Linked DNA regions of Struthio camelus. The protein of the gene in region 1 interacts with the protein of each later gene in a biochemical or structural test. Links are inferred from orthologs where the notes say so. Each region holds a gene or a part of one and is shown in the gene's direction. Other genes may lie near its edges. The genes, in order: WWP1, WBP2 and KLF5.

The links.
Region 2: of the proteins of WWP1 (region 1) and WBP2, one has a biochemical effect on the other in vitro, tested with the Homo sapiens proteins (2 studies listed by BioGRID, with this or other methods). The link is inferred for Struthio camelus from reciprocal best matches to the Homo sapiens genes WWP1 and WBP2.
Region 3: of the proteins of WWP1 (region 1) and KLF5, one has a biochemical effect on the other in vitro, tested with the Homo sapiens proteins (4 studies listed by BioGRID, with this or other methods). The link is inferred for Struthio camelus from reciprocal best matches to the Homo sapiens genes WWP1 and KLF5.

Annotation. Positions count from the first base shown.
Region 1 is NC_090943.1:152,425,670-152,433,584, reverse strand, and holds the start of WWP1 (NEDD4-like E3 ubiquitin-protein ligase WWP1), read left to right. Parts: upstream 1-4,871; 5' UTR 4,872-5,075; intron 5,076-7,915. UniProt on the Homo sapiens protein: E3 ubiquitin-protein ligase which accepts ubiquitin from an E2 ubiquitin-conjugating enzyme in the form of a thioester and then directly transfers the ubiquitin to targeted substrates.
Region 2 is NC_090960.1:8,821,667-8,829,507, reverse strand, and holds the start of WBP2 (WW domain-binding protein 2), read left to right. Parts: upstream 1-4,814; 5' UTR 4,815-4,829; coding exon 4,830-5,041; intron 5,042-6,469; coding exon 6,470-6,578; intron 6,579-7,121; coding exon 7,122-7,257; intron 7,258-7,841. Other genes in the region: E3 ubiquitin-protein ligase TRIM47, read left to right, coding at 3,945-4,059. UniProt on the Homo sapiens protein: Acts as a transcriptional coactivator of estrogen and progesterone receptors (ESR1 and PGR) upon hormone activation. In presence of estrogen, binds to ESR1-responsive promoters. Synergizes with YAP1 to enhance PGR activity.
Region 3 is NC_090942.1:178,477,462-178,485,348, reverse strand, and holds the start of KLF5 (Krueppel-like factor 5), read left to right. Parts: upstream 1-4,880; 5' UTR 4,881-5,157; coding exon 5,158-5,400; intron 5,401-7,428; coding exon 7,429-7,887. UniProt on the Homo sapiens protein: Transcription factor that binds to GC box promoter elements. Activates the transcription of these genes.

The DNA of each region.
Region 1 (7,915 bases):
AGATACACCAGTCAGCAAGTAAATGGAAGTTACAGCAAATTCCCTAACCATTGCAAAACTAGAGAGGCTTTAAAATATACACATTAAAAAAATGACTAAAGCAGGATTCTACTTTAAGTATGTCAAAAAAACCATATACCACCATTACGACAAAAAGCTGCTCCTTACCTCCCACATAAAGGAGATATTTTGTAATGACGATATATTTTTGATAACTTTACAGAGATATACACTTTTTTATATATATGTATTTATATATATAAATGTATATATGGCTATATTTTACTCAGCCTGACTTCACAATGTAATAATTATGCAATGAGAGAAAAAGATGACATTGACAGCATGCCAACGAAGATATTCAGTTGTTATAGGGAGTGTTTATAGTCCTGGAACAGGAACCAGTATTGTGCATTGAAAAGCTATTGGTTAAAATGTGCAAACAGTGGTGAGAAGACAGATCAGAAACTAAGACTTTCCACCTGTTCCAGCTAAGTTTCCTAATTGCTGGGTCACTCAGCAATACTCTCGTGCACTCTGCCAATGTGCCTCTGTGAAGCTGCATGCAGACAGCAGAGGAGGGATGAAGAATGCCCTGATTCCAAATCAGAAAAAAATTATTGGTGATGCTACTGCTGTGGGAAAAGAGACTGGTTTGGACCTACTAAAGCTGAGCAGGGCACAGAATGCAGGTTTTCCAGGTCCCAAGTTCTCTAATCATGGTGATTCTGTAGCCTGGTGATCATTGCTATCATGTTTGCCTCTGCTTCTGTCTTTATCACAACTATAGAATCTTTTGGTTAAATTCAGATTCTTTGTGTGCATGCTCTAACCATGCTTCCTAGATCCAGTCCGCGAGGGATTTTAGATGATGCCTGACCTACTTTCTGGATCCTAAACAAATACAGGCATAAGTCAAGCATCAGCTCTTTTGGTGCAACCAAGACATTAACTACTTACTGTACATGCTTACAGATGCCAGCTACAACCATCGAAAGACTTGGGCCACTACAGGTACAAGGTTCTGTGGTTTGTGCTCTTGAAGGTAGAACTTTAAGTTCTATCTAAATCCCATTTCAGGTGCTTAAGTGCTTTTCTGGATATGGTCCAAATAAACTTATTTGAAGGTTCTCTTTTATTCTGTATGAGTTTTGTAAAATAAAGTCTCCATATAAAACACATCAACAATTGCCAGAGAAATCTTCCCTCTATTCTCATTAAATAGAGCTTTTTGGATTTTCCACAGCTGGAAGATAGGGCTGCACAAGGAACTAACTTAACCATTCGCGTTTAAGACTTCATTATAACCTTCTGCTCAGTTCAAACACCCAAACCACACATATAGAAAGATGAAAAGATGAGTTCTGCATGCCTGTGCTCAGGTGAAATCAGCCTGTATTTCAGTCTACTAAAGATAGAAAGATTTGGTTTCACCCTCATCCTCTACTATCAGGAGATTATAGGTTAACAAAGGACTTTGGTAAGATGCCTAAGAAATTAAAAAAGAGCAGAAGCCTAAATGGATATTATTATATATTAATTTTATGTGCTAGTAAAGACATTCATTTAGAATTTTACAGCTTTCATCCCTATCAAGTTCTAGAAGATTTCTCCACAAGTATAGTTTGAACAAAACTATTGTCACTGGCCTTCTAGTTAAAGGCTAGCAACGCTCACTACTAATCCTCTGTGTGGAGGAACAACAATGTTCTCTGAAAAGCAAGATACAACGCCAACCAGTAGACACACCAGTCTGCTACAGCCTACCTTTTCCAAAACCCCATCCTGAAATTCATGCTTGCCAAATGTACATTGTTCAACCACTCCAGACAAAAAGATCTATAAATATCTAAGTTTTATACTAAGTATTACATACTCCAGCATATTTTGTAGATTTCAGTTTTGATTCTGAGTTCTCCAAAATTGTCCTTACTTTGCAGGGAAAAAGGCAGGGGAGAAAACTCAGAAAGATACCCTAGGAGACTTTTTTAAAACTATTCAGTAAACTTGTAAATGACTACCTCAAGAATACTGCATACAGAAACTGCTTTTATATTGTATTTCAGGTAAAACCTCATGCAACCACTTCTGTGAAGTTCAAACTTTGGTTGACATATGTAGTGACTTCTGAGACCTTATCTGAGGTCAGCAGTAGATTTCAGCCGCCTAAATAACAGTAAAGCTTTGAAGCACTGCCTCAACTGAACCTGCAACTAGAAAAACAGACAAACAAACATATTTCTTGTAACATGAGTTTCACACAACACATCTGAAACAGGCTATGGTTGTCTACATGCTTAATGAGATAACTAGTAATTTAAGTTCATTCCTCCTAGCCTTCAGCACTGTATAACAGAACCAGTAGTCTTTACTGATCACTGCGCAGTAGAAGAAACAAAGGTTGTCTGCAAAATGAAGAAAGTTGTGTTTGTACTTTTTCAGATTCTTAACAAAGTATAACTTAAATGTTTTCAGTTAGTTTTCAATGTATGGTTTCCAATCCTTACATATATACTACTACTTTTTACCTATTGCCCTAAACCTAGTTGAAAGATGAAAGAATCTTGAGGTTTTATGAGATATTTAAAAGTAAACTTATGATATTAATAAATTTGGGACATTTTGCTTTTATAAGTGTATCAAATGTCTTTTAAGAGGGACTAATACTTAGGATGTCACTATACCCCAGGGTGAGACAAATGTATGACAAAGCTTGTTTTGAAACAGGGAAGAGGCAAACCAGAGAAGCCTAACTTCTGCATAAAATATTGTTTTGTACAGCAAAAAAAAAAAAAAGCACCTAGCAATTTTACATATATAATCTACTCAAAAAATAATAATGTTCATATTTTTCAAGTATTCATATCAGGCTACTTATATTAGCAACAAACAAAGCCTAGAAAGAGGAGAACCTCAGTAGAACTATTAACAGCTTATGTGCAGAGCAGAATCAGAAAAAGCAAGAATCACAGAATACTATTAAAACAAATTCCTCCTCTCTTCAGCCTTTCTTTACATTACAGAAGACTGAGAAAAGAGTTGATCCATCTTAAGAAACTTGCAATAATCACTATCCTCTGTGTCATTACAAACTTTTTTTTTTTTTTTTTTTTTTTTACTGTAAACCACAGTGGAGCTGCTGCATATTTACCGTTTACACCTTCACCTGCCATTGGCTGCTGGGAATGCAATGTTGCATTCAACGGTAAGTTCCTAAATATAAACTTATTTCCCCATTAAGAAGTGTCCTTACTTAAAGTGCAGATGTTTTTCTGCATATTTCTGTTAGATTGTTTTACATTACAACAAATTAAAACAGGAAGGAAAAATTGTTGGAGATTACTAGCTGAATCTCAAAGCGTCACCAAAGGGTAGCAATATTGGTTTCCTAATTTAAGTCAGTAGTTAATTTGGGGCAAACTCAGGACACAAGTAGGATTGTAATCTTCTTTAAAAGTTTTAGCTGATGTAGAGAAAACTATATTTCTTGAATTCTTCATATCAAATGGATTAATCACACTGTTAACTGAAAACAGCTAATCTTACTGCCCATGATGAATTCTGACAGAAGATCTAGACTAGACTTTTATAAAAGTCTAGTCTAAGATGTTTCCTAAAATTGAACAGACCACAACCTTTTGTTTCCACCCCCTAGACTTTGTGGTATTCCTATTGATTTTGTATAAAGAACGAATAGGTTGGAAAGTATTATTTTTAAGATACTCGCTTATGTATTGTGAAGGAACATACATGCCCAGATGAGGCTGTTGGGCATTCGTCTCTTAAAAAGCAACAAAATACCAGACTTTGTTAGAAATTCCTGCAAGGTCTCCTGGCGTTTGCTTTTCTTCCTTCCAATTAACGGTGGTGCTAGACTTTTCCGACGCTACCGCTCCCAGGCTTTGCTCATACCCGAAAGTCCACGTTATCACTGCCTCCACATACCGTCCCGTATGGAGCTAAAGCTTCCTCGGCCTCCGACGTTAAGACACGCGCCTCACGCCTTCGCACGGCTGCCAGCCTGCGGGGAGCGCCCGCCTGCCCGCCCGGGCCTTTTCTAGCGGAGTCCTCGCCAGCGCCGCGGCGGCGGCAGGTAACCACCCCTCCCCCTCCCCAGGGCCCTAACGGCCCTAACGGCCCCCGCGCGCCGGCCCCGCCTGCCAGCTGCCCAACGGCCGTCGTGGGCTGCTGCTGCTGCTCCACCGGTCCCTCCAGCCCCCCTCAGGGCGGGGAGGAACCGACCTCCCTCCCCCCCTCCTCCTCTATCCTAAGTATAGGAAAAGTAGAAGTTATGCAAAGGGAGAGAGACCAACCAGGCGGATCCTGGTTGCTCCCGACCGGGCGGGGAGGGTGTGACGGCCGGGGGCGGCTGCAGCAGCAGCAGTAGCGGCGGCCCTCCTTGTGCGCGCAGCCCGGGAGGGAGGCGGCTGGAGCAGGCAGCCCTCCCTTATCACTTACTCGCCGCCGGGGTGTGCTGGCTCTCAGCGCAGAGCGGCTTTCTCGGGGGGCAGTGACTCACAGAAGCCTCCCTTATCCTGCCCGTGCACGCTCTCCCCCGGGAACGGGGCCCTGGTGCTGGGGGCCGGGGCCGCTCCTCCCCTGTTTACGCAGGGCTTGATTCAGCTCGCTCGGCTCTTCTCCCCGTCGCAGCACCCAAGTTGGTTCAGCCCGGGGCAGGCGCTAGGAATAAGCCCTCTCCCTCCCGAAGGGCCTCGCTTTAGACTCGCCTTCTCCCTGCCTGCCTGCCGCTGCGCACGACTTGGTTCCGACGGGGCCCTTTCGCCCGGGCGGCAGCGGCGGCTCCACAAGTTCCTGCTGCCGCTGCCCGGGGCGCGCGCACGAGGCTGGCGCGGCCGTTGGGGGCGCGCGGCGGCGGCGGGAGCAGCCGCGGCGGGAGGGGGGTTGTTGTGCGCGAGCCGCCGATGCCGCTGTGAGATGGCATCACTCTGCGCGGCGGCGGCGGAGCGTGGCGCGGAGGGGTGAGGAGCCGCGGCGGCGAGGAGGAGGAGGAGGAGAAGAAGAAGAAGGAGGAGGTGGCAGCGGCAGCGGCAGCAGCTCTGAAGCTGCGAACCACGGTAAGGAAACAAAACAGGCTGCGCCGCAGCCGTTTCGCTCTGCGATCTGGCCTGACAGAGCCCGGCCGGCCTGAGGAGAAAAACGGCTGCAGTTTTTCTCTGTCTTCTTTGCGGCGGCCGCGGTGGGGCTGGGGGGGAGCGGGGGCGGCCAGGGCGGGGGGTGGGGGGTTGAGCTCTGGACGGGTACCCGCTGCCCCTGTCACGGAGGGGCGGGGAGGAGGGGAATGGGCGTGGGGGCTAAAATGGCGAAGGGAGCTGTAGCGAGGTCTTGGTCTCTCTCTCCTTTCCGGCACTTCAGCTCGTCGCACACCCTGGGCCTTGCTGGGGCTGGAGGAGGGGGTGGCGACGGCTGCTTCTCCCCCTCCCTCCCTCAGTCTCCCCGTTTGGTGGCGGGAGGACTGCCGTGTCCCCCCCCTCCCCTCCGGCTCATGTCTGGACAGGGCGGAGGGCCTCTTGGCCCACACCTGGCCCGGGAAGCAGGGTCGGTACTTTCGTGGGCTTGTGGAGGTACAGGGCGGGGGGGAAAGGAGCGGGGAGTGTGGCTGGTATCCGATGTCAGGCGAATAACCTTGTTTATTCCTGTCTATGGCCTTTTGAGAGAGGGCGACTGAGGGCTGAGTCCTGACCCGTGTCAACGCCAAGTGGGTTGCGAGAGGTGTTAGTATCTGGGAGGCAGTGAACCAGTTGCGGGGTCGACCCTGCTTGATTCTGTGCCAGCTGAAGGCAAAGGAGAAAGATATTGTTGCGTTTCGGGTTCACCTTTCTTTGGTGAAACAGCGGAGGGAGGAGGTGAAGAGCAGTCTCCCCTCTGTAGTGAGCTGCTGTAACCCCACAGCCTATCATCATCATCCCTCACAGGATGTGTAGGGGGCAGGAGGGGACACAGGCTGGGTTGGAAGTCATCACTGTTACTGCTGAAGTCTGCGAGTCTCTCTGATTCTCTTAATGCAAGATTTGCTGAAAAGACCGTGTGAATTTGAGATGTTGAAACACTTATTCATGTCATTGATCTTTGTTTATATTATGACAAGATCCTACAACTTAGCATAAGTGTTCATTTACCTGATTTTTCAGTATGTGTCTTATTTTTGGAACAATACCAGTTCTCTTCCAAGTTAAACTGTGGTAATCTCACTCTGCTTCCAGGTCTATAAATGTTTAAACTGTATGTCAAAGAGAGAAAAGGAGTTAACCCTGTCTAATAATTTTAATGGAGCCCTTCAATGTTTGAATTAAACTCTGAAAAAGGATCTCTTCATATTTCAGCTATATTTTCATATAGTTCCTGCGTCCAATAGAAAATCATCAGGATATTTTGCATTAAAAAACTCAAGTTATGCAAGTTTAGTAACACTGGCTTGCTAAATGATACTCTCACTGGATGCAGGCAGTTGGGTTAAATATGGCTGTCCCTCACATGTATGAGATACATGCATATATATATATATATATATATATTTATAGCCTTCATAGTAATAATAACAATCTCTGCTTAAAATTTATGTTTTGCTTTAATCCCTTTGTTACATAGGAATAAACTGCTTAGTGATGATCTGTGGCAACTTGTCACTTGGGCTTTTTTAAAATTTTATGTGCTGTCTTATCTGAGTCTGTGTAAATGGACATATGAACTGAATTATTATTTCTCATTGATTTTTAATAGTGAAGATTTAAGAAATTTGCGTAGAAAAAATCTTAGGGATTTTCATTCTTTTAAGAAGGATTTTACAGCTTGTAAAAGCAGTTTATCTGGAAAGCTGTCAAAGGTGCTTTAAAATAGGACAGCTAGAAATATTTTGAACTAATGTTGGTTATAAACCAATCTGTGTTTTCAGAATCCTTCTGTTACTTCTTTGGGCCCCGTTTTAAGTGTTCGTTTAAATATCTGATCCTGTAAATGCTTCTTGTTAGTAGATCTTCCTATCAGTAGTCTTTTTCCAATGATACTATAGATTAGTTCCCTTAAATACATAATTTTACTTGAAATCATGCAAGCAGTTTTAAATACTCAAGGGTGAGATCTGTCAGCATGGGACACCTTGTTACCTAAAGGATATAAACTATTTTTTTGGGTGAAATTAATTTACATTTGTTGCTAAATATCAATGAACAAAAGGTTGTAAGTGAACTTTGTGCCTTTTTTTAAAGGGTTGGCAATAAAGTTAAAATAACTACCTGTCTTCAAGCGCTTCTTAAATTGTGGGAAGACCCACAGGCCTCAGAGCCAATCCCCTCTCCTGATTCTGTGGAACCCTTGGAAGATGGAGGAGTGCCTGCCAATTCTGTTGCTTTTTCTTTTTTTTTGTGTCCTTCTTTCTTTTCCATACACATATTATAAGTTGGAATTTCTACCCAGTCACTCTTCTGCTTTTACTCTTGAAAAGAATGTGTGTGTGGGAAAGAGATTCTTCTTTCCCTTCTACTATTCTGTGTCCAAAAAACATCATCTGTGATGGGAAGCTGGTATTGTGTTCAGTTTATTCATTTTTTTCCCCAAATTTCTATGCCAATAAAACCCTGCATTTCAAAACTCAGATACTTTAATCAAAAATTCATGAACTAGGCCATACTTATTAGTTAAAAATGGTTACTATTTATGCCATTAGGCCAAACTGTCGTGGTTAGCTTTTTTGCTGAAACAGAAGCTCATTCTAGAGTTTATTTGACTAGAATCCAGATAAAGAAGCAAGAAGACTTGGAGGGGGAATGGATGGAGGGATAGACAAGTGCGAACTTTAAGAAATGTCTCTTGTAAGCCCTCCTTAAGTAATGAATGGAAGTTTCTTTTAACTTGGTTTAAAAAAACTCTGCTTCCTCAAAAGGGCAGAAGAGGAGGGGTG
Region 2 (7,841 bases), on another chromosome or scaffold:
CGGTGTGTTTTAGGGACAGCTGGGAGCTACATGTCGGTTGTATAACTCTGGCAGTAAGTGATAGTTAGCAAAAACAACTCTCGAGGAAGTATCCCGTCTGGCAAAGGTGGAAACTTCGGGCTGAGGCTAGATGGCAGTTCACGTTTTCTAAAGGAGCTCTTTCAGGTCCGCCGCCCTGGAGATGTGACGGCGGCGGCAGGGAAATCCTGCTGCTAACGGCAGCACAGGCAGCTCCCTGTCTCGGTGCAGCGCGCCTTTCTAGAAGTTTATTTTTTCTGGGGTTAGTTTGTTACCTACCTCCTGAAGCTTGCTTTACAAAAACTTAATGCTGTGTACTGTGTAATATATAACTAGAGAGGGATTCGTCCGACGAATCGGTCGGATTCGTCTCTGGCATGAGTGAGTCACTGATGACGCATCGGCCTCCAAAGGCATGGAAAATGGCCCATTTATCTATATATATGAAAAAATATATATCTCCCAGAGGATGAGCTGGAAATCATAGTAGTATATTCAAGGGGAGCCAGGGAGAAAAGGCAGACACATGGCCAAGAGGTTTAAAGCTAAAGCCGCATTTACATAAACACTGAGGCTTAAAGAGCTCCTTTACTGTAACTAGTCAAAGGGCCCTGATTTACCGGCGCTGCCAAATCCTGCTACCGCAGGGAGAGGGGCTGCTCTCCGGCTGCCCGTCCGTCCCCCTGCCAAAGCTACCACCTCCGCGGCGCGTCCAAGCTGGACGTGCCAGCGACGACCACCGCTATCGGGTCCCAGCGGGAGGACGGGAGGGTGCGAATGCAGCTGGCGGACTGATGTGCCAGCTCTGAGCCCCCCGCCGAGCGCTGCTGCCGCCCCGTGCCCTGGGCACGGGGACGGAGGGCTGGAAGGATCAGCCGTCGTTGCCCTAGGTGCTCTCGGGGCCCGTATCTCGGACCTGGTGGAGGCGGTGAGCCCTGAAACCCTGCAAGCGGTGGGAAAAGGGAAGGTATGTCTTTCAGCGCTAAATCTTCGGATGAAATCTCGGTTTTTTGCTGGTCAGTGGGAATGTTGCCTGGACTCGTGTCCGGACAGGATTGTGCTCCTCGCGTCCTGAGCTCCTGCCTCAAAAACGCTTTGTTTCCCTCGCGCCAGCCTTTCCTGCCAATCTTTGCCTTTGCGTGAGCTGTCGGCGGTGACATAGCACAGGGATGGGTGCTGTTTTGTTAACACCAGGGAGGACTCGCTATCAGAAATAGTGTAACCAGATTAAAGAGCTAGAGATGTGCAACAGCCCATGCTTGGCTGTGTCCCAAGAGGAAGAGGAAGGTAACCTTGATCTCTGCTGAACGCCTGCAGGAAGAGATCCTGCTTGTGGGCCAACATCTCGGCTCTGTCTGGGCCCCAAATGTGACTGTTATTCAGGCGAAACTCCCACCGTTTGCAGCGAGGAGTTTTGCCAGAGTAAACAGAGCAGATCTGGGCCGTTGCCCTGTTTTGCATGGCCGTAGGCAGCTCGATTACACCCTGGAGGGACCGCGCGCTTGGGGAGCCGCGGAGCCCTCCCTGCTCCATCGCGCCCAACGCGGAGATGCAAGTCTCTGAACCCCTGCAGGGTCTGGGATGGCTTGGAGGGATCCTACGCTTTTCCCTTTCCTCTCTGTCCCTGTTGCCAAGGGGGAATTGCCGTGCGTCCGGGCTCTGCTTCCGGTGGTGCCTTGGCTTTCTGCGGTCGAGGGCCAGTTGCTTAATTCATCTTTGCCTCATTAGCTGGGATGCGGATACACAGCTTTACAGAGGATTTCAAGGGCTTCTGTAGATGTGATGCAGCTGGAAAGCATTATCAAAACCTCCCCTTCCTGTTGCTGCTTTTCATTCTGGTTGAAAGTGCTATAAATCCTCATGTTTCAGGGCATAAAGCAAATTCTAAACAATTTCAGATGGGAACAATCCTCCAGGCTGTTGGACCAGAGTTTGCTCAGACACGTTGATCCTGTCTTCCCAATAATTTGTGGTGTAAACTGGAATGATTAGGAAATGTGCATTACACCAACCCTGGATCTCTGATTTTTGCTGCAAATGAAAGGATAAGTGTGGTGGGTTTAGATAGATAGCACTGTGCAATTTAAATAGCCTTTCTGTGTTCTCCTGAGTTATTTCTGCTGTCACAGAGTGTTCCTCTTTTTAATTAGGATTATTTTTTAAATATACAGTTACTGTAGAGTCTTTTACAGTGTGTGAAGAAACTGTAACGGAATAATATAATGATATTAGAGACTATGAATTGCCATTAAATATTATACAGACATAGCTCTTGGTTTGTCTTTCCTTTAAATACCAAACTAGAAGAGTTGTCCGATTACCTCCTGTTTATTTTTCTGTGTCCTGTACATCTGGCTTAAAATAACAAGAGATTTTATTTTCCACGTGTGTCAAAAGGAATTGAGCCAAATATTTATTTTTATTGCTCGATTGCAAAAGGAATGGAAGAATCCTAGAATCCAATAGTGATATTGCCAGTCCTGGGCAATTCAAAATATTAACTTGTCTCACTTTTCTCTTTGGGTCTCTTCTACCTCTGTCCTCAGCTTAACAATAATGAAATTAAGTAGTTTAGGCACTTTTTTCCTTAGAGTTTTAAGTTTTTAGAGTGTAAATTTCCAACGTTTTTTATGTAATGAGGCGGTCCAGAGATCTCCACGCACACAAGCACTTGTACCAGTAGCATTTTTTAAACAAAGGCTGAGTTTCTTAATACCAAACCTCTACAAGAAAAACACCATTATCGGGCAAGCTGTGACTCATGAGAGGTGGCAGTGCTTCAGCTGGGAACTTCAGTGGAAGCTGAGTGGATGTTTGCTACTGCCTTTAATAGGAGAGGAATCAGGACTGTTTATTATAACAGTTTCTTAAAAGGGAAACTTACAGCTTATTAAAAAGCGGATATGAAAAGCACAACTTTGCTTTTTTCTTGCCAAGAACTATACAGATTATGTCACTGCATTTATTTAAATCTGGTTTCCATTATGCAGCTTTTCTCCTTTCCCCTACTCCATCTGATTCTTAGGTGCTCAGGCAGGGCTGGAGGGGGCTGGGCTGCAAACCCTGCAGGGAAAAGTTCAAATCCATTAAAAGTAATTTAGAAAAATATATGTTATCAATATATTTGCATAGTATATAGGTTATTGATATGAAGAAATGTTCAGAACAGATTGATTAGCTTTAAAGGGCTTCTATTTTAAACAAAAGTATGCAACCATAATTTTTTAAAAGTTACTCCCACCTCCTTGCTTGCCCACCTGGAGGCAGTAGACTATACTCATAGTATAGCTATGCAAATGCCACAGATATTTTCCTGTTCCCAGATTTCTTCCAGACGTGCCTTAGAGTCCCTTCAGTTTAACTCTCTTGAAGATAAAGGCTTAATTTTACAAACCAAAAGCAGGGTGATTTCTGCACAGAGAGCATTTAATATTGGGCTCCAAAGTCTGTTTGCAAGCATCTGTAACACAACGTGTGCGTCAAGCATCTGAATTGAAAAACAGTTGGAAACTCTACGCATCCTTGCTGTGAAAGGCACTGGGCCTCATTTTAGATAAAGCATCACCAGCTATCTGAGATGCTTTTTTTACTCTGCATTACCAAATACCTGAATTTGCCCTGGCCACCTACTGAGAGTCCAATTCTGTCTCCGTTTCATTTATTTCTGGCTTTTCCCTGGGAGATCCTGCCAAGCAGCATTAAAATCACTTATGGTTGCACGTGGCATGCAAACAGCTCCCCCTTTACATGTTAAACTGGACGACATCCCAGGAAAAGCGAATATTTCATGTGCTAGCGGGCTGGCCTGGAAACGCCTTCGGGAAAAAGCGACGGTGCAAGCCGCAACAAAATACAGCGTTTTAGGACGAAACGGCAATTTGAGCAGTGCCAGAGGTTTTTTTGCTTTGCTTTTTTTTGCTTTGCAGGCTCCTACCCAGGCAGCGCAACTTTTCCAGGGCGCCCGTGCGAACGCCACGGAGCCGTCTGAAACGGGAAGCCAGGAAGACCGCGGCCGAGTCAAGCAGGCTCCAAACAACTTAAACCGTGTTATTATATACGGTGAGAGGGACATGTAACCAGATGATTAACAGGTTTCTCAGCGCTTCAGAGAGTCCTCCCGAGGAGCAGGAGAGCGGATCTTCGGATTATCCCTGCTGCTCCCTGCAGAGAGCATAAAGAGGGGGTTTAATAACATATGAACGGCGACTTTTAGCCCACTAAAAGTAATATTGAGTATAAAGCGATTATAAAACAGTTGACTTTTGGCTCTCGGCTGGAATCCCTTAGAATATCTGTAAGGCACCAAGCGCACGTGGTGCCGCCGGGCAGCGCGGGGAGGAATTTGTCGTTCGCCTCGGTATCCACCGCAAACATTTCCCCGTTCAGCCGCGGCGGGCGCCCTGAGGGCCACGCGCGAGCCCGGCGGGGCTCCCGCTTTTAGCGAGGGCGAGCCGTTGTCGGCATGAACGTGCTGGGAGAGGTAGCGTATTTTAGGAGGCTAACTTCAGCAGCTGGGGAACAGAGACAAGCTTTCAGGCCCAGGCAGAGCGGCGCGGTGCGAGGGAGCCGCGTCTCCGCCTCCCGCTCCCACAAACGTCCCTTGTTTTGTACAAAAGCCCTACTGATTGCCAGGCCTTGAGGGATGGCTAGAGCCCCTGGGGCTTTGGGGGGCACGACGGAGGCGGTGAGCGAGGCCGCGGGGCCTGATGCTGGGCAGAAAAGGGATGGGAGCGCCCCGCAAGCCGGCCCGGCCCCCGCTGCAGCCTGTCCCGGGCAGCCCACGGGGCGCTAAGGGCTGCTGAGGAGGGAACATGGCGCCCGCTGGGCTGCAGGGGGACTACAACTCCCAGCATGCGCTGGGGGGAGGGAAGCGCGCCCCGTCGCGTCGTGACGTCACGGGCGGCCGCTATCCGCCGGGCGCAGGCGCAGAGCAGGCTGGGTGCTGCGAGGAGGCGGCGGCGGCCATGGCGCTGAACAGGAACCACTCGGAGGGCGGCGGCGTCATCGTTAACAACAGCGAGAGGTGAGGTGCCCCCACCGCGCCCGCCGCCATCTCCTCGGGGAAGTAGGGGGGCGGCCTCCCTCCCCTCACGGGGGGAAGCGTTAGGGCGCCGCGGGCCGGGTGGGGGCGGGGCCCCCCGTGCCTGGAGCGGGGTGGGGGGAGGGTTTAACCATTTCAGTGCCCCCCCCGGCGGGGGTCGGGCTGTTGCCCCCCTTCCCCCCCCCCCCCAGCCCGGGCCCCCATCTCGCCGCTCTGCCGCCCGCGCAACGGGAAGCCTCCACGGAGCTGCCCCCGCCTGCCGGGCGGTGGGCGGCCCTCGCCCCGTGTGCCCGCCCGGCGCCCCGGTCCCGACCCGGCGGGGCAGTCAGCTGCTCCCGAGACAGAAGAGGGGTTCATTCCGCAGGGCTCCTTTCCGTGAGGCCAGCTGGAAGATTGGTACGGGAGTTATGCCCCTGACTGCCATTAGGGGTATGAACCTTCCTCTGAGAATTCGGGGAAACTCTTGTCTGTGGCTTAAGTTTGCGTTCGCTGACGTAAAACATCTGGCTGCTTAATGTGCTCCCAGCTGCCAGCCTACCTGGGGTCGGAAGTTATCTGCGCTATAACCGGCAAAGCGGATGCGTGCCCGTGCCGCAGCCCAAGCTGCGCGCATTGTTGATTCGGCTCATATGCTGTATAGTGACTAAAGCCACTGCCCCCTCAGCCTTCCCTGGGCTTTTGCTGTGGGGGCAAGTACCCACTGGCAGAAGGGAAAGGCGAATGACTAGGGATGGTAACATGTACGTTGCCAAAGATAAATGCAGCAGAGGCTTGTCCAGCTTTGAATGTTAGCGTGTCTAGTGTGGATGTTGTGTTAATACCTGCTACCTTCTGCATCCATAGAAGGGTGTTGCACCCGTTTTAACCGGGTCAGTTTCTAATTGAGCATTAAGGAGTCAGGGCGGACACCACAGGTTAACAAACTCTAGTGACAAAAAAGAGATGTTCCTCTGATTGCGTTTTTATGATAGAAGTGCTTAAGCTGAGGTTAGACGCTCAACAGCCTTGTCGCATAAGCCAGCTTAAGCAGTTCCTGCCTCTGCACTCCTTCCTCTGTTGTGTTGCTTGTGGCAAACCAAATTAGGGAACTGATCCAGCAGAAATGCAACGCAAGTTTTTTAAAAAAACAAAAATCAGATCTTGATCAGTTTAATTGACTAGATTCACTACCTGCCTATGCGAATGGCTGTAGCAGTGCCAGCACACTGAGGAAGAAGCACAAGGCTGGGAACAAGTAGATAGTACTGCTTAAGTTGTTCCTGCCAACAAAAAAACAAGTCAAACTGATACATCTGCTGAGCGTTTGGCTGAGATTAAAGCTCGTTTTGGTTGGTCAATAGACTATATTCATGCTGAACCACAGTGTTGAGCTGTAACACTGTGTCTCTTCTCTTGTTGTCTTGTTTGTAGCGTTTTGATGACCTATGATCACATAGAAGTTTCCTTCAGTGATATCGAACCTATGCCAGATGCCTTCAAAGGGACCAAGAAAGGGAGTGTTTTCTTGACTCCCTACCGAGTAAGTAGTAAAAGGCATTATCTTGCCTAAGGAGATAAGAGCTCTTTTCAATTCTGTGTTTAAATGTTCTCAGTGCATGAAAGTTGGGATAACCTACTGCCGCTTGAAGTATGGCTCATCCCCTCCCTCTGGGGAGCATTATGAATTCATTGCACGTCCAGTCACTTTGTCAAAAGATGATAAAATCTGATTAGTTCTTATACAGACAGCTGCTTACTCTATCAGGCATCTTCAAGATTGGAAATTAGCAGTGGTCTGGAAGTGCTGAATGTAACAGTTAAGCTACTAAATCATAGCTGTGTGGAGCTGGGAGTTCTTTAGAAATTGGGAGGAGTATTATCTGAGCAAGGATAACGTTTCTAGAAGGCACTTTACATTATTGCATTGAAGCTTTAGTTTAGCCTTGTTGCTCTTTGCAGAATTGACTAGAAGTTTCAGATGTGGGAAGCAGCTTCAGTGCATTGAAAACTCTTTTCAAATAAGAAGTTCAACTGTGTTTCCTGCTTGTTTTAAACACTCTTCGTGATGTTCTTTTCTTTTCAGGTTATCTTTGTATCAAAGGGAAAGGATGCTATGCAGTCTTTCATGATGCCCTTTTATTTGTTGAAAGATTGTGAGATTAAGCAGCCTGTTTTTGGAGCAAATTATATCAAGGGTACAGTGAAAGCAGAGGCAGGAGGTATGTATTATACAGACGTGCAGTTGAACTAAGATGGAGAACATCTAATTCACAGCGAAGTAAGTATCCAGTTTGACCTAAACTGGATACTGACCAGATGGATTTTTACAGTCCCGCTAAAATGTGTTTCTTTCTTTAAAACCAGTAGCTAAAAATATTTCCCTTGTCTGCTTCCTGTACAGTTACAATGAAGAGATCTGTTCTGTAACTGATCTCATTCCTGCCCTCTGTACAAAATATTAAGTTCAGTCAGCCAAGTGATCTCACTGACTGAACATCGGAGCAGAGATCAGACTGTGTCAGCAAGACTGAGGATATCATTTAGTTTTGGTCAGTTAGGGTTATCTATTAATTCTTCATCCAGATCCTTCTACGCAAAACGCTTCTGATTCTTTCCAAGACCTATGTTGGTTTTCAGATGCAGATCGCCAGAGTATTGTTCTCTGTCATTAGTTTCTTGTACAGTTCAAGGAAAGGCATGTTATTGCACCAGTGTATCTTAGCAGTAAAAACGACACTTTCTGGGGAAAGAACAGGCTATTTTGAAATTCAGGAGTCTTCAAGGGGCTGTTTCGTATTATGTT
Region 3 (7,887 bases), on another chromosome or scaffold:
GATTTTTTTCAGAGGCTACTTGTGGGTAAGTTTACATGCCTTCATTTAGTTGTCGTAAACCTTCACTGCTACTCTAACTTACATTGAAAGAAAAATATGTTTAGCTAAAGGATAAAAACAAACCACAAGTACAACCGCACCTAGGTGCTTTTACTAATCTTTCAAACACAGCTTTGAAAGTTTTGCCTTATTTTTAACTGGGTAAAAGAGAAGCTGGCATATAATACTTGTTTTATATTTGTCTTTATTCAGCTTTGCATTAGTGAGTCTCCTTTGACCTCTAGTAGAGAAGAATTGGTTGTTTTGCAAGGTTTATATCTTTATATTCTCAAAAATTATCAAATTCAGTTCTCTGATACGGGAGTCACTATGTTCAGGAGGTTTCTATCTGACATGTTGTGCAAATTCCAGCAACAAAAAAAGGCAAGCTGGTCAAGAGAAAATAAACTCTTCACTCCCGACAGCATGGCAAAGAACTCCTGACAGATTCTGCTGGGAACAAGAAGCTTTTACTCAACTGTCCTAGGGTATACAGGGGGATTGGGAAATTCAAACAAATTTTCTGTACGTGTTTCACAATAAAGCCTGGTCCAAGAGCAAATGCAGATATTTTCCTGATCGTAAGACTGTGCACACTGCAAGAGAAGGGTGGAACTACGTGGCTAATAAATTGTTTAGAGGGGAAAGAAGTCAGGATGCAGTGGGTTTTTTTTTTTATCTAGAACGCCAGGCTGAATTAATGAGGAAGTGCTATTGGTTATTTCAGGAAGAATATCCTTTTCTCTATAGGGTTTATCACAGTATTTTTGGTAAAGTGAAATGAAAAATGGCAACCAGGCTTCCCCTTGCAGTAGAAAAAGGAACACTTATGTAAGCTAATCCTGAAATACCAACGATAAAGGTACACAGCAGTAGACTATCATGTTATCATTTTCCACATTCACTTTAACAGAAAGTTACCCTGCTACATTCCTCACTGTGGTGGTGCTATATTATGTATGTATGTTCTGAAAGCCTGTCATGAGCTAAGATGGTACCTTGTGGCTAGTGCAATCTTGTTTTCAGTGGAAAGTCAGAATGAGAAAAATGACTTTCCTGAGGAAAAAAAGGATCCTACTGGCTGTCTTAGGAAAAACAGAAAGTTAAGACCAGAATCATTTCTTCCCTTGAGGAGATGGATTCTAATGAGCAACTAGAAGTGCAGATGACTACTGATTTTGCAAGTGGAGTATTTATTTCTACTTCTCTAGTTAGTTTATATAAAAAAATGAAGTGGATATTGCTGATTCAGGACAGACCTCTGAATGTGCTAACAGCTCTTGAAATTATTATCGGACATCTTAGTATGGCTTAAAGTCTATCTCAATCCAGTTGAGATCCTCAGATTTCCCTCACCTCATCATTATGAAACAATTTATGCATGCCTTGCCAGTTCTTCCCTCTCTCTCCAAACAGTGCATGCGTAAGTCCCCCTAAATTCTGGCACCTTACCTGCTCACAAGGACAATGCCCGGTCTTCCCTCAAGTTACATCTTGTGTAACCTGTGAATTAGGAAAAAAAGAGGGCCTGTCTACTTCTCCTCCCCCATTCCACCCATTCTGAACTCTTTTGCTCCCAACCATTCTCCCCACAAGGCAGTGCAGTGATACGCCACTGCCAAGCTTCCAACTGCCTGGAACTTGACATTTGTTCTTGTTTTCTCCTGTCTTCCCTAATGGGTATAGCACTACTAAGCGAAGAGGAATGCAAAGAACAAGAGAGTTCAAAGTAATTGAGTCTACATTCATTCAGAATGTCTGGATCCTTGCCCACTCTGAACCTGGAGCATTTAAATAGTTTCAGAAAATTTAACCCTTTTTATTAAACCTGGTAATGCTCTTTCAAGTGCAGAGTATTGCCTTTTTCTCATCAGTAACTAAATACATTGCAAGGTGCTCTTCATATATTCAGCTGTAGGTACCAACCAGTAAGCGTTTTATTTCCTTTTTTTGCTTGGTGGGACAATAATCTTTATGCTTTTATCTATTATATTCTATAATATATTCACATATATATGTTTCTTACATATATCTTATATATCATATATTCTACATATTGCATATTATAACATATATATAATGCAACAGTTCTCTAAGATGCTCAGAGTCGCGTTACAGAAGAACGATCACTTACAGTAATTCCTGAATGCTTCTGCCGAAATTTATATTTACATAAACAGAACTATGCTGGGTTTTAAATAATTCATTTGGCTTTTCTGCTGCAAATCTGTCTATTAAAATATAAACTTACTTCTAACTCTGCCTGCAAAAGCAGTGAAGAAATGGAATTGTAAAAGGATTATAAATGTAAGCTTATATTTTTCTGATGATCAATTATGAACTCCTGTTTTAATTAAACGTTAATTTAGGAGATGCTCTTAGTTAGCAGTTTATTTCTAATTTTCAAATTGTTAAAAAAAAAAGCCTAAAATCTAATAAGAATGAGAATTATTAAAGCATGATACCAAATAATTTTTCACTTATCTCAACATTCTTTTAGACTATCTGTAATGTAAATAGTGCAGCACTGTGCAGGTCAAATAAAACAGTGAATCTGAGTAGGAACAAGAGTTAACCTGACCTGTCTGGTTAAGTGTTAGTGACAATAGAAATGCTAAAATAAAAAGTACCCTTTAAAAATACTATATTCTTTAGTAATCTTCCATTGACCACTGCTTGACTAAAGACTGTTAGCACTGGGCGCATGATTAGCACAAAAACATGGAGAAGGGACTGCATTTGTTTACTTGCAGTTCAGATTTAATTATGTCCTTTCAAAAAAATTAAATGCATGCAAAGCCGCTTCTGAAAATGTTAAGTATATACAGAGCTTTACTCAGTGATACTATTCTAATTAAGCTGCCAAAGTGTTTGCCAGAGCAGGCCCTTTTTAAATGTACATATATAAAACAAAAGCAAAACAAAAAAACAATTCTGAAAGTATCTGTTTATCATTAATTTAATCAGATGGAGGTAAAGCATATAATTAAAGTATGCAAGTCTCAGAAATTAGTACAGCCATACAATTTACATGAATGTCCGAAAGTTACTTATATGTGTGCTGCATGAGATGCTGCCTAGCCCTATATTCCTTCTGGACTTCTAGGACAATTACAGATGAATTAATTTCTGGGTAGCATAGAACAATATTATTAGTTTTGCATTTTTAAAGCTCTTAAGAGAGCACTGTATATCAAATTTGTCATTTCAGAGGGTCACAATCATAGTTTGACGTCTAGATGGGTTTAAACACGGTTACATGAAGCGCCTTCAGACAGTAAAACAAAACAAGGTTTTAAAATCCGTTTGTTAACACACCTGGTTTTAAGCTGGAATGGAAAAAAAGAATTAATAGTGAGGAGTCTTTGGAAAAAAGGATACAAAAGGGATACAAAAGTTATATATCGTATGAATCTGAATATGTGTTAGATTGAAATTAGTCTGCATTACTTTAAATGCTACGCTAAAGGGAGTAGCCGGATCTACCTTGGTAATAAGAAGCATCAAGTGGCTACATATTGCTAAACAGACAGTTGGTGTAAAGAAATGTTATGCTAAACTCTTTCCTGGTTCTGCAATTAGCTTTCTGTGTTCAGACTCCGAAACATCCCACTTGCCACGGACCTCAAGACAAATAGGAGGGGACTGAAAAGCTGACCAAAGAAATACTTTTTACGTTTAAAAAAAGTCTTGTCTGAAATAACAAGGCAGAAACGTGGAGAGGGAAAGGCTGCTCACATCTCTGCAAATTCACAGATTCCCTGTATACAAACCGAGAGTCCAGGGCTGGCACGCAAGATGAAAGGAGGAAACTTTTTTTTTCTTCTAGGCTCCACTTGTGGGCTGTACTTGTCTCATACAAATCTTGCCTTGTACTTGCCTCACATGAAACCTGGATGAAACCGTGATTGATGAAATCTTGTATAGAAAGGCAGCGTCCCACCTTTACTTAAATATGAGGGAACTTAGCTCACTCTCTGATGATTACAATGAAATATGCTTTATGTTGAAACCACACCTAAAAACAAGTAAATAGACTTGCCTCGTCTCAGAGGAAAAAAAAAAAAGTGAGCGAAACAATTGTCCCTATCTCTTTTCCTCTCCCCTTCGTCCTTCTCCCCGGATCTATTTTTATATTAGCATTTTCACAGTAACATAGTGGAGATGTATATTGTAATAATGAAATTTATTAGCAGGAGGTTTTGAGTACGAATTGCCTTCAGGACAAAAAATAATAAAATTTGAGTGACTAGTTTTAAAACCTTTTGAAGATGAAAGCTATGAAAGACGATTATTTAAAAATGTCTACTTCAGAAACGCTTCTTTAAAAGACTATAAATAATATTAAGATATTGAAAGGGGCCTCGCCAGACTGCTTAAACCGCGCGTGTTGAAAGCCATCTCCCACTTTGCCACCCGCACCGCGCGGCATGCCCCCTGCCCGCCTTAGAAACAAATAACCCCAATAAAAATTATCCGGGTTTGTAAAGCGCCAGATCCAGGCGGGACTCCTGACGTTTCAGAATAACGACCAGACACTCTGCCCGCTCCGCCGGGTAACGCTGCTTTCCCCCGAGGTGCTCGAGTCACCGCTTCACGCCGCTGTCAGGAACAACCCGGCACGGGTCTCCCCTCAGCCGTCTCCAACGGCCGCCTCGCGCGCGCACCGCCGTCCAGCCCGCCTCGCGCGCCCAACGGCCGCTCCGCGCCGCCCCCCCCGCCCCGCCGCGCCGTGCTGCACCGCCCGTGGCCAGCGCGCCGCGGGGAGGAGCCCGCCGCGCTCCCCATAGGGAGGGCAGCCCGCAGGGCCGGCCCCTTTCCCCGGGCTGGGTGGGGTGCGCGGGCCGGGGGGGGGTGGGGGGGTGGAGAGGGAGGTCGGGGGGTGGGGTAGGGTGAAATAGAGGCGGGCATGTGTCAGAGGATAGATACCCTCGGCCAGGTACAGGCGGCGGCACTGAGGACACCGGAGTGGATGCGCTCGTGGGCCGGGGCTCGCGGGGAGTGAGCGCCGCGCACTTGCCACCCGGAGCCCCGCCGCCGGCCAGTCCCCGCCGTGTCAGGGCGGCGCAGCGAGGGCGGGCAGCGAGTCCGTGCGCACCCGGGCAGCCAGCCTGCCTCATGGCCACCAGGGTGCTGACCATGAGCGCCCGCTTGGGTCCCATGCAGCAGCCCGAGGAGCCGGTGTTCGCCCAGCTCAAGCCCGTGCTGGGCGCCAGGGAGGCAGCGATCTTCCCCGGAGAGGATCTGAAGCAGCAGCCGCCGCCGCCCCAGCAGCAGCACCAACACCCGGGCGGCGGCGGCGGTGGCGGCGGCGGCGGCGGTGGCGGCAGCGCGACCCTGCCGGCGGAGGAGATGGTACAGGTAGGCAGGGACCACCTCCCCCCGCCGCCGCCGCCGCCGCCGCCGCCGCCGCCCCTCTGCCGCGGTGGGGCGCCGCGCGGGCGGCGGCCGCTGCGGAGAGGCGCTGGGTGGGGCCGGGCAGCGAGCAGCGGACCTGAAGTGCGGGGCGGGCGGCGGCGCCGCCGCACGGCGGGACGGGGGGGTCGGGAGGGGGGGGCCGGGGCCGCCGCCGCCCCGCGCGTGTGGCGGGCAGGGGCGCGGCGCCGGGGCCGCCGCCTTCCCGCCGGCGGAGCGCGGCCGGGGCGGGCCGAGGCGGCCCGCGGCGCGGCCGGGGCTGAGGCGGGGCGCGGGCTTCGCCGCCCTCCCGCCCGTCCGCCCGCACAGGGGCCGAGGCGGGGGCGCGGAGGGAGCCGGGCTGCCCCTGCGAGTGTGTTGAAAGCTACAGCTGCTGCTTTTGCACTTGCCCGGCAGCAGAATTAGAGCAACCGCCTGTCTTCCTCGCCCACGCAGAGAGTCATGTTCAGTGTTGGGGGGGGGGGGGGACTTCCCGGGACTTTCTGCCCGTCCCAGAAAACTGCTTGGAAACGGATCCACATGAAAACAGCTGGAAGAGCTAAAAGCAGAAAGCGCCAACCGCAACCTGATTTTAGCACGCGAACGGTTTTAATTTGAGACTTTTTATTTCCAGACCTCGGCTCTTTCGGTGACCATGAGTCGCTGGGGCGGTTTGCCGCGGCCGCTGTCCTTGCGGGGGGGCGGCGGGGGGCCCCTGTGGCCCTCCCCACCCCGGGGGGGCGCCCGGCCGAGGAGCCCGCTCCGAAACGGGGGCCGGGGGCGGCCCGCTCGGGCGGCAGCGCTGCGCGGTAAACGCCCCGCGCGGAGGGCAGCGATCGTTCAGGCGCTGCGTTTCGGTGATACCTGCTCACGGAATAAATAATACTGTCTTCAAAGCAGGCTGCCCCGTGGCTTGTAAACAAGAGCTGGAAAAAGTAGCCTGGCGTGTTCGGGCAGATCGAGATCAAAGGAGAGGGAGCGCTGCTTTGTTTGTTTGTTTTGTTTACCGGTGGTCTTTGAAGAAAGGTCTTAAAATCCACTTTTGGGCAGACTTGCTGTTTGTCAGCTGCTTTCTCTTTTAGGGTGCTAAACGGATTCGGTATGAGCGCGCTCTTTACAGGGCAAGGGGGAATGTAGCATTTGCCCACTGGAGAGTGCATGATAAATGTTTTGCTGATGACTGTACCAGTAATGTATCAGGCTGTAGCCACCCACGGATTCCCTAGCACCACTACACTGAGGGAATGATTTCCCAGTAATTAAAGAGCTCTCCTAGGACTGAGACATGAATAACGACGTTTGTCACGTTATTAACCAATTATACGCTGCACAGACTTTTTTTAAAAGTGTTAGTGTAGTCCCAGACGCACTTTAAGCAAAGGAAAAGCTAATGTAGGCAACCTGTCCTCTTTTTATTCTGTATGATTTATAACTCTACACTTTGGTACCAGTCATATTTATAACTTTCTTTTAAGCATGAAAAATCCTAGAAGTATAACATCACATATATGTGTGTATGTATATATATACATATATATACATACATTGTTTGAAGTATTAGCATTCAAATAGCCAGCTGAGGATGTGGCTTTTGGAGTTAGCATTTCAAAGAGAAATGCATGAAACAGGCAGTAACCTTGTTAGAACAGTGAATTCCAAAGTACAAGATCTGTAGGTGAGTCATGCAGCCTATCGTTTTTGTACGTAGTACTCTCTTGTAGACATACAAGACGAAAAGTTTGTCATAGCTCAGTCTTAACAGTTGTTCTACATTGATGACTCGCACCATCATTTTATCTTGATGTTTTTGATCAGCATGCCAGGTATAAAAGGCAGTTTTTTCGTTAGTGTGAATTGTTTAAAGATTCCTCTATAGGTGACCAGCAGTTGGCTAAACAGTATTGTTTGTTATATTCAAAGTCTCACGTGACTTGAATGCCATCTTGTTTGCTAGCTGATAACGAATCATGTGGATTATCTGTTTTGTTTTTCTAGACGAGATGTGAAATGGAGAAGTATCTGGCACCTCAGCTTCCACCCGTTCCTGTCATCCCTGAACATAAGAAATACAGAAGAGACAGTGCCTCAGTTGTAGACCAGTTTTTCACTGACAGTGAAGGGTTGCCTTACAGCATCAACATGAACGTCTTCCTCCCTGACATTAGTCACCTGAGAACTGGCCTGTACAAATCTCAGCGACCATGTGTGACCCACATCAAGACAGAACCAGTCACTATCTTCAGTCACCAGAGTGAAACTACTGCCCCTACCCCTGCCCCTACTCAGGCCCTTCCTGAATTTACCAGCATCTTCAGCTCTCACCAAACTCCTGATGTGAACAACATTTTTATCAAGCAGGAGCTTCCTACTCCAGATGTTCATCTTTCTGTCACACCCCAGCAAGGCCAGTTATATCAGCTCTTGAGCTCACCGGATTTAGATATGCCCAACACT